Linked DNA regions of Schizosaccharomyces pombe. Changing the gene in region 2 together with the main gene of any one other region gives a genetic interaction. Each region holds a gene or a part of one and is shown on either strand. Other genes may lie near its edges.

Region 1 (5,047 bases), 1.7 Mb from region 2:
TGGTATTCAAGCATGAGTCCTCTATGTACTGACCAAGAGTGCAATCAGTTTCTCGATAAAATTCTAATAGACAACGTTCAGGGCCAATACAAGGAACAGAAGTTTCCTTGTTAATAATGGAATATAACAAAATAATCCTTTGAGAAGAAAATGGAGAAAACATGAGTTTTGAATGAGAGTAATAAAGTGTCCACTGCTTTTCTAAAAAATGATAACGTTCATCAATACAAAAGAATTTATAGGACTCTTCGTAACTTTCTTCTACATTGTCATTTTCGGACTGCTTCATTACGAATGAGCCAGTTGGTGAGTATGGATGTAACTTCACATCTTTCAGTAATTTGTTACGAATAAACTGGTAATAATTAACTTGGTTTAATAAACGTGGAAGAGGCTTTGATAAAAAGGGTGAAAACGTTAAAAATCTGGTTTTCAAAGCCTTGGTAATAGAAGAATAGTCATCTGAGGCTGGTAAGTTATTGATCAACTCAAGCGGGCTGTTGCTACCTTGGGTGCTAGAAACACTTTGATTTTCATTTTCCAAAGGTCGCAAACTTTGATTATCACTGTTCAGAGATTTTTTTTCATGATTTTGGCTTTTCTCTTTATCAGCTGCAGTAGAGGCAAACGAAGGCAACGATTTCCTAGACAAACTTTGATAGGTTGTTTCAAAAAGCTCCGGCATATTCACAAATTTGTCTCTTAACAAGGCACATTCAAGTTTGATATGATATGCAATCAAAACAACAAGTTCGACAATCTTCTTGACCTTGCTCAACTGATTATAATCAGCTCCTCTTAGAACTATGGTGCAGCCTAAACGTTCCGAGCAGCGATCAAGTATAGCAAACGTTTTCCTCAACCCTTTGTTTTCATCGACAACATACGTTCTGAGTTGAAACCTGCCGCAAGTACCAAGACGAGGACAAAGCGACAATTTATCTATTGACGATATTATGTCTGCACGACAACATCTAGCTATGTCATATAAAACTGATTCTTTAAGTCCATGAAAGGCTATAACGCCATGTTCTTCAAAGTACTTCAAGGCAATACTGGGGATTTGACCCTGAGCAAAAACTAGATTCGGTTTAAGCATGCAGATTCTATTGACAAGATTTATAATATACTCTTCTTGCTGAGAGATGATTAAATCCAAGGATAAAATTCTCTGTTCGTCACAAGCGTAGTCTAAACTGAAAGTTAAAAGAGCTATACGAGGCCGACGAAGCGAGCGGTCCATAGATTTGGACGAAGCTTTTTTTGAGAACAAAACACCATTAACAAGAAAACAATCTTGAATGCTTCCCCCGGGAATCTTTTTTATTTTTACATAGCTGCGGACATCAATATCATCACCAGAGCGAATATCAGGACCTAGATCCAAAGCCATTTTTAAAAGAATTTTTGGGAGACAAAGTACCCATTGCATAGGCGAATCCACACCCTCATCATTTAGCATTTGAAAGAGTAATTTTCCCAGAAAAGTACATACAAGCTGATTAAATGAATCAGAGAAGAGAATCCAAGGTGGTAAAATACATGTGCTTTTGGAAGAGGTAACTACAGAAGAAGCACGCGACTTTCCCTGGTAAGGAAGAGGCTCTTCTGTTCCACCGGGATGATTCACCTTATCAACTCGCGCATTGAAGTTTTCAATTAAAGCGGGAAGTCCATCGGGAATAGTAGAAGAAGGAAAAAGATAGTCGCAAACCGTTTTCGGAAGAAAAGCTTTTAAAAAATTTGATAAGTAACTTTCATTACCGTAACGCTGAATTGATGCAACATTTTGCTGGCGTTGCTTAATAATTGCACTATTGGCATGAAAAGAAAGGCCCAATCCATCATTGAATAGTGATTCATCGTCGGAGTCGGAGAAATGATGATAGGAATTGCCCGAATCGGCCAAACCCCGTTCATCAGTCAAGGAAGAACTTCTTGAAATAAAGGGTTCATTTATTACTGTGCTCAATCGATCGTAAGACGTTGCTTTTATATTTGGAGAAAGGTTAACAAATGAAAGGCCTCTGTCGCCTTTGCTAAAATCCTCGAGCCGGTTTCTTTCATCAGCCGACAAGTACATATCAGAGACTTTCGCTGAGGAAAACGCTTTATTCTTTCTTAACTTTGAGTATGAAGGTACTTTTCCAAAATTGACGGGACGATAATCTGTGGAAACAGAGCTAGGACCAGCATCGTAACTATTTGTAATGGTTAAAGCATTATATTTACCACTTTCGGAATCTTCAACATTTATAACATTCGAATCTAAATTCCTTTTGCTCCAGTCAAGAAAGATGGAATGGTGAGCCCAACCAGGAGAATCATAATTCGAGCGACTAGAGGGAATAGCTATCATTGGAGCAACTTCAGGAGGATGAATATTATTAGGCATCTCAAATGTGCTACTTAAATCTCCAAATGATGATAGTACTTGATCATTCGAATTAAGTTCGTCCAGTGTAACAAACGGATGTTGCTCCGTAAGATCTCTATTTTTGGATTCGTTTAATGAATGATTGAATAGCTGGCTTCGAGAATAATTATTAACTAAAATTGAAGCACATGGACGACACACTTTGATCGATCCTTGGAGACGAAAGATAAATCCAGGAGCTTCTTTTAAGCAATATTTGCAGATAATTTTCCCACATATTCTACAATGATGTTTCCTTCGAAATAAAGTAAATTCCGTCTCACATAATGAACAGTTGTTTGTTCTTTCATCTTTCATCCAAAATTCGCGCGACAACGTACTAGTCGGCAATTTCAACGTAGTGTGGACAACATTCTCGGAATCTTTAATGATTTGCTCTGTGCTTGATGTATGCAAAGTATCTAAACGGTGAGAGGTTTCAACAGGAAAAGTGGGCGAGGCTGCGGTAGGCGTTTCGACTTCTGACATTTGAACAGAAATGCAAACCGAAGATTAAAATTATCTCCGGAAATTATTGGTTCTATTAATTAAGTTCTATGAATTGTCATGATTGTTATATCGAAAAGCATGTACGTTAAACGCAGCTGTTTGATAATAAATACTTTAGGTTTTGGTGTTGATAGAATAGTGTATATTAACGAGATTCGCCGAATTTAAGTTTTACAAAGCCATAGCAATACAAGAGCTTTCGGCTTTACTGTAGAGCTAGATATTATAGCAAACAAGAATTTGGTTTAATCACACACGAAAACCATAACATTCTTAACTTTAAACTGTATGTTGATTACTGAAAAAGAAAGGTACCCTAGGCTATATATTTATGTGTACTTTTTTTTATAGGAAACATTGGATCACCCAAGGATTAGTGGTAGTATGGAAACACTCGCTCAAGGCCAAGGAGATTTAACTACTTTTAGGTTAGCGTGTCCATGAACCAATGAACTAGTAATATAAAGAATAAAAATAGAAAGGAACACATCTATGAAGCCCTTGTCCCTAACATGAAATCACAAAACTTCCGCTTAAACAAACCTTATGGCTCACTAATAAAACCAAAAATTGTTAAGAGCATATTATCAGATCTCCGCAAAAGGAAGACGATTTCATTGCCCCGGTGATTTAAGACTCAAAGAGCATACACAACTTTATGATATGCTAATGTAACTCCTGTTAATTCATTAGGAGCTACATAATACTGTTCTTTTTTTTTGAAAAAAATAAAAATAAATCTACACATATTACGATAGAGCATTTTGAAACAACTTGTTTTCTAATTAGGAATAAAAAAATATTTATTTATTTATTTATTTTGAAAAATTGCTAGAGATCACTTGCTCATCATTGGAGAATCGTAACAAGTGGTAGTCAAGATCATTAAAACACTGTCTGACAGCTGGCCATAAATTGCTTGATGTGGAATTTAAATGCTCTTTTACTGTTTAGAAGACCGTGTTCAATTCATTATCAAAATTCATCAATCCAATGGCAAGCGGATCATTAATTGCATATGTTATGATTGATTGTTAAATCAAACAATAATATATGCTCACAATCCAACAAGATTGGTCTCATAACCATTTCGAAACTATCATATTAAAATCGGAAGAGACGATTTTACTTAATAGCAATTTGTTTCTTAGTTTGGGACTTCTCGACCTTGGGCAAGGTGACAGTCAATAGGCCATTACTGAAGTTGGCCTCAATGCGATCTGCATCAATCTTGGCTGGAATAGTAATGGTACGAGAGAATGAGCCAAAGCGACGCTCTGACCAGCGTTGGTTACCCTCGGTGCTTTCATTCTTTCTCTCATTGACGACTTCGCCAGAAATAGTAAGTTTTCCGCTATCATAATGGACTTGAACGTCCTCTTTCTTAACACCAGGGAGTTCTACATCAACGCTAACAGTGTCTTTACCCTCATGCACATCAATCGAAGGAGACAACTCCCCAGGAATTTGGTTGTTCAAACGAGGGGAGTAACTAACAAAGTCAGAGAACAAGTCGTTGACAGTAGGGGGAAAGCCGAAAAAAGGTTGCAAAGACATTTTTTAAAATTTAAACAATTGCGAGTAACTTGAAATTATATGAATTCAATTCAAATCTGTATTTGTTCGATGCTGGACTAGCGGAAGGAGTACCCTTATTTATACCTTTCTGGGAAGCACGGAATGGGATGGATGTCATATATTGTACGATGACTCGAATTTTCTCGTAAACGTTGTGAAAGATCACGAATTTGCCGGAGTTTGTACTTTCGGAACGGCGTCTTTTGCTAACACTCAAACTCTGTATTGGGTGGACTTAGATGTTCGTTAGTGCTTGCTCTAGAAAAGTCCAAATTTGCCACTTATGCGCCACAACCGAGGCAGATTCAAATATAAACTTCGGTACGCAAGGCTGTGCTATCTTTCTAGAGAGATCTAGAAAATAATCATTCTAGTAGAGTTAGAAAAATACTCATTTCATTGACTGTATATCGTTTCCTTTACCTTATTTTTTTTTTTACTTTGTAGTCAACTAACCAAAATAAAATTTTTAGGACGCATTTAGATTTGTAAATAAACCATAACGTAAGAATTTTTCTTTCTAATCTTATGATTTGAGCGCTT
Region 2 (4,948 bases):
TTATGGCTAAAAGTTGCCTATTGCAGTGCTTTGGCAGACCTATATGAATTATTGATGTGTAATGAAAAAATGTCTAACTTGCTTCGACGAGTATTGAAAATAATGTCTTCAAATGATAATATTGATGAACTTTTTTTGAAAAAGTGCCTGAATATAAATTTGTTATTACAGCATTTAAGCTCGGAATATTCTCAAATATCTGGCCAAGATGCTAGCAACGCACAAAAAAGAATTGAAGTAATAGTAAATGTTAATAACGTTTATGGGGTATGTTTCTTATAAAATAACGAGGTTTACTAATATTAGACTATCTTTGGAAATGAGCTTGCTTATAGGCAAGAAAAAATATCAAAATTTACTGATCCATCCTCTGTGATTAGAAGCGACCTTTGGACAGTTGAAGTTGATCACTTAGATTTACTACGAAAACAGATCGAAGATTCGATATCATTGCATCGCGATGTACGTGACTCGAAAGATGCACACATATTAAAAGTCAGTAACAAGCTTCGGAAGCAGATTTTGCATCTGGTGGAACAAAATTGCCTTTTGATCTTTGATTTGCACAATGGAACAGATGATACCATAGTAAAATCGCATAATTTTCAAAAATTTGAAGAAGAATTTGGCAATTCACGAAAAGAATGGTTACAATATTTAGGTAAGCTGTTTCTCACTTTCTTGTTTCCGCTAACAAAGAAGCTTCTGTCGGATATTTGGAAAAGGCAATCGACTTGGCGGAAAAAGTTAAAGACTTTCAGACAATGGTAATTTTGCTGGATTGTCTAGATCCAAAGGATCCTACCATTAAGCTTCAAAAGCAAAAAGCATGCTTAAATAAATACAAAGAAGAATTCGCAGATGTAATTTTTTTTTATTTGGTTGATACAGAGCAGTATGCGTCTTTGCTTCATGATTTCTTGGAGTATCAATCACTTTTAATATCTTTTTTTGAAGCCAATGATTTATTGAATCTTTTGTGGATATTTGAAGCTCAAAATGGAAATTATGGACGAGCCTCCGAAATTCTTTTCCGTGATTGTGAACCAGAAGAAAACAGGATTATCGGTAAAATTTCGCAGTTAGCTCTAGCAAAGCTCTACTCATGGACTAATAGAATTGAAGGTGAAAATATCATATTGTCAAATGAGACTGAGGTGATTGAAAATCATTTAGCCATTTTGCTTATTCAAGAGCAATATGCTGAAATGCTTTCATCACTTGTGGATATTACAGAAGACGAGGGAGAAGCTGTCGAAGCAATAGTAACTTCCAATTGTGTAAATCTATCAGAAAACTCTATCAGAGCCTGGCTCGTGTCTAGTGCTGTTGAGCGATTAATTCAAAACGAATACACTACGCTTTGTGAGATGGTAGATTTCTTTTCTTCTTTTTCATTACGGGAATGTTCATTCAAAGAAGTTGATTTGGCCTTAGAGTTATTAGAAAGAGCTACAATCACTAAGGACGTGTATTTTTACTTAAAAGATCTCGTATATCGCCGTTTTCTATTACAGGTGAACTGGGCAGAAATCATCGATGCGCATGAAGATTTAGAATCTTCATTTTTTCCAATGGTAAAGGAAATTATGTTAGAATCAGACTTTTTAATATGGTTACAACATATGGAACACAATATTCACGACGAAAGTAAACATTACTTGAAATCGGAAAAAAATTTTTTGCAAAGTGTATATTCTTCACTTTCTGAGTCGCAAGTGGAAGATTATCAAATGGAGCTTTTTCGTGAAAAGCAAATTTTCTCAGTACTATGTAAAGATAGAGAGTTATACATTCTGATTCCGAAACTTCTGGACGTAGCAACAAAACAATGAAATGAAATTTTGCTATATATTACTTTACATTTCCTCAGTAATCGATAAACACCTGTTTAAACCTAGTACTACTTATGTTTGTATAATCTATCGTATAGCCTCAGCTCCGACAACTCCGTTTTTACGATGGTAGATGCTAGATAATCACTGGTTAGAATATTTACGGCTTAAAATAATTAAATTTTTTTATTATAGATTCTTGATTTATTATGATGATTGCGCCTTCGGGGCTTTTTCCCTGTCCTGGATAGCCTCACCCTTACGTTGGAAATTAAGCTAAGGCCTAGTGTGTTGCATCCAAGTACACCTTACAACTAACGTCCACTAAAACACTCAAACCACATAATCATTTGTTAGTCGAAAGAAAGCCTGTAACTTCTATTAAATTATAGTAATTGGTTTTCTAAATTTTGTTGTTTTTGGTCGGCTACTGAATCGCAATTGGACTTCAATCTCTGTGGTGAATGCAGTGAAAACAAACTGAGATTTGTGTGGCATTTGTTAGTGAGGCTACAAATTGACTACATAAAAACTGCATAGTCCTTGCAATAAAAAAAATTTTATCTGTTCGGTCAATTCCTTGTGACAGGGTTATTTATCATGAATTCCCAAACGAGCGTAGTAGGGGTTCACTATCGCGTGGGTCGTAAAATAGGTGAGGGATCGTTTGGTGTTATTTTCGATGGGATGAATCTTTTGAATAACCAACTTATTGCTATAAAATTTGTATGTTCTTTGTTAGGATGAGTATATGGACAATACTAACAATGGACGTTAGGAACCCAAAAAGTCGGAGGCACCTCAGCTCCGTGATGAATACAGAACTTATAAATTACTAGTTGGAAATGGTATGTTTTTATTTTGCTACCCAAAACATATGGTCAAGACTTTGGTACTAACCGTATTTGCAAATAGCTGGCATTCCTAATGTTTACTATTTCGGGCAGGAAGGACTACATAATATCCTTGTTATTGATTTACTGGGACCTAGTTTAGAGGACCTATTTGAATGGTGCGGTCGTCGATTCAGTGTCAAAACGGTGGCTATGACGGCGAAACAGATGGTAAGTTTCCTAAGTTGTTCCTATAAGGTTTTCAATTTGTTTAAATTTTCTCTGACATTTCAAAGCTTTCCAGAGTTCAGACGATTCATGAAAAAAACCTTGTTTATAGAGACATCAAACCCGATAATTTCCTAATAGGCCGACCTTCCTCTCGAAATGCAAACATGGTATATATGGTTGATTTTGGTATGGCCAAATATTACCGTGATCCCAAAACCAAGCAACATATACCATATAGTGAACGTAAAAGCCTCTCGGGGACTGCGAGATATATGAGTATAAACACGCATCTTGGACGTGAACAATCCCGTCGCGATGACTTAGAATCGTTGGGACACGTCTTTATGTATTTTTTGAGGGGAAGTTTACCTTGGCAAGGATTGAAAGCTGCCAACAATAAGCACAAATACGAAAAGATTAGTGAAAAGAAGCAATCTACCTCCATTAGTGAGCTTTGTGCTGGATTTCCTAATGAATTCAGTAAATACATGACTTATGTGCGTTCGTTAGAATTTGATGAAGAACCGGATTATGCGTTTTTACAAGAGTTATTTGATGATGTACTTCGAGCAAATGGTGATACGAATGATGGGGTTTATGATTGGATGTTATTGAATGACGGTAAAGGTTGGGAGTCAAGCTCTTCTCATTTTTCTGTTGTTGCTATGAAGCGACGAAAGAATTACCTTGGCTTAAATGTTGTTCAAAATGATGATTCCAGAAAAAAGAACAGTACTTTGCAAACACAGAACATGCGATTTAAATCCTCATATGGGGTGAGAGGTCCTAGAAATTACTCATCGTTCGATGCGTTGCCGAGCAAAAACGCTCCATTGGTGCGTCAAGAACAGTCTGCTTCTAAAAAAACAATTTATGCTCATTCTTCTAGAGGTTACGATAGGGTTCGACCTATGTATGTATCTCAGCCCTCGAATAATGCAGTCGGAGTAAATCATCCTAACGATAATTCTGATTCGGAAGCAAAAGGAGGATTTTTTGATATGATATGCTGTCGTTGCTTTTCTTAGTTTCGAAGCTTCAACTATTGTTAGAGTCACTCACTTTCTTAACTTAAATAAGTGTTGTTCTACTATGCGGTAGATATGCTTTCACAATATCAATCATTTGATGATTTGGTTTTCAGAGTACGGGATAAATGGTTCATCTTTTTTTAATATTAATTTGAGAAACGCTGTATAGCGTCTTTGAGCGGGTGCTTAAATCAAATTCTTTAATTATTTCGATTGCAAATTTGCTGGCACTAGCCTACTTTGCTGGTTCTCGTTTAATCTTTTAATGTTGCTTTCCTTTAACATAACTCAATATTGTCTTAAAACTGACATTGTACTATTGTAGTAAATAATATATACATACACATATATAACCAAACCATATGTATTCTAGGTACTAACAATTGGTAAAATGACAACGGAAGCTAATTCGTTTTCAATTACAAATAAATAGAATAAAAGAAAGGAATTCTTTTTATACTGATTCGTGTAATATATTTTTTAGCTGGACATTCAAAAAATAAACTATACGTGTCTTAAAGTATTTGAACTGGACAAATGCCATATGATTTATTGGAAACTAGGTAATTTCTTTTGAGTAATGGTAAATCCCTTTTTAGTAAAGGAAACAATCAGCAACAAATAAAGAAAAAATTTTGACTTATTGGGTTATAATTACTGCAGCGTATACCTAATATGCTGTATACGACCTCTTCAAAAACTAACGCTAAAATCTGTCAAACCATAGTATGTAATTTTTATTTTTTTTTCTCTATGGCGTAGATATAATTTCGTATCAAGACTGTAGACTTGAAGTTTTAACCCAAGTTTTATCAGGTGTTAAATAGATCTCCCTTTTCTAACTTCTTAGTGCGTGCACATGCATGTGCATGTGTGTTAAACGATTTGAGTCTAAAATTGACAAGAGCGGCTTCGAAATATGATATCTAATAGCTCCATTGAGGATAGAATTAATAAAAATGAAGCATATATAGCCAAGTTTTTTGAAATGTGTGTGTAATTATAAGAATTTCTGTGT

What was found.
Region 1: of cki2 (region 2) and fab1, changing one suppresses a phenotype caused by changing the other (phenotypic suppression), as found in Schizosaccharomyces pombe (one study listed by BioGRID).

The regions. Positions count from the first base shown.
Region 1 is NC_003423.3:2,656,439-2,661,485, forward strand, and holds the start of fab1 (1-phosphatidylinositol-3-phosphate 5-kinase Fab1), read right to left. Parts: upstream 3,020-5,047; 5' UTR 2,906-3,019; coding exon 1-2,905. Other genes in the region: heat shock protein Hsp16, read right to left, coding at 4,052-4,483.
Region 2 is NC_003423.3:969,936-974,883, reverse strand, and holds cki2 (serine/threonine protein kinase (CK1 family) Cki2), read left to right. Parts: upstream 1-2,145; 5' UTR 2,146-2,435; coding exon 2,436-2,561; intron 2,562-2,613; coding exon 2,614-2,683; intron 2,684-2,742; exon of another isoform or gene 2,743-2,750; coding exon 2,751-2,899; exon of another isoform or gene 2,900-2,964; coding exon 2,965-3,927; 3' UTR 3,928-4,277; downstream 4,278-4,948. Other genes in the region: nucleoporin, WD repeat Nup131, read left to right, coding at 1-267, 307-661, 703-1,835; SPOM_SPBP35G2.04C (uncharacterized protein), read left to right, coding at 4,850-4,920. UniProt on the Schizosaccharomyces pombe protein: Casein kinases are operationally defined by their preferential utilization of acidic proteins such as caseins as substrates. May contribute to the regulation of morphology.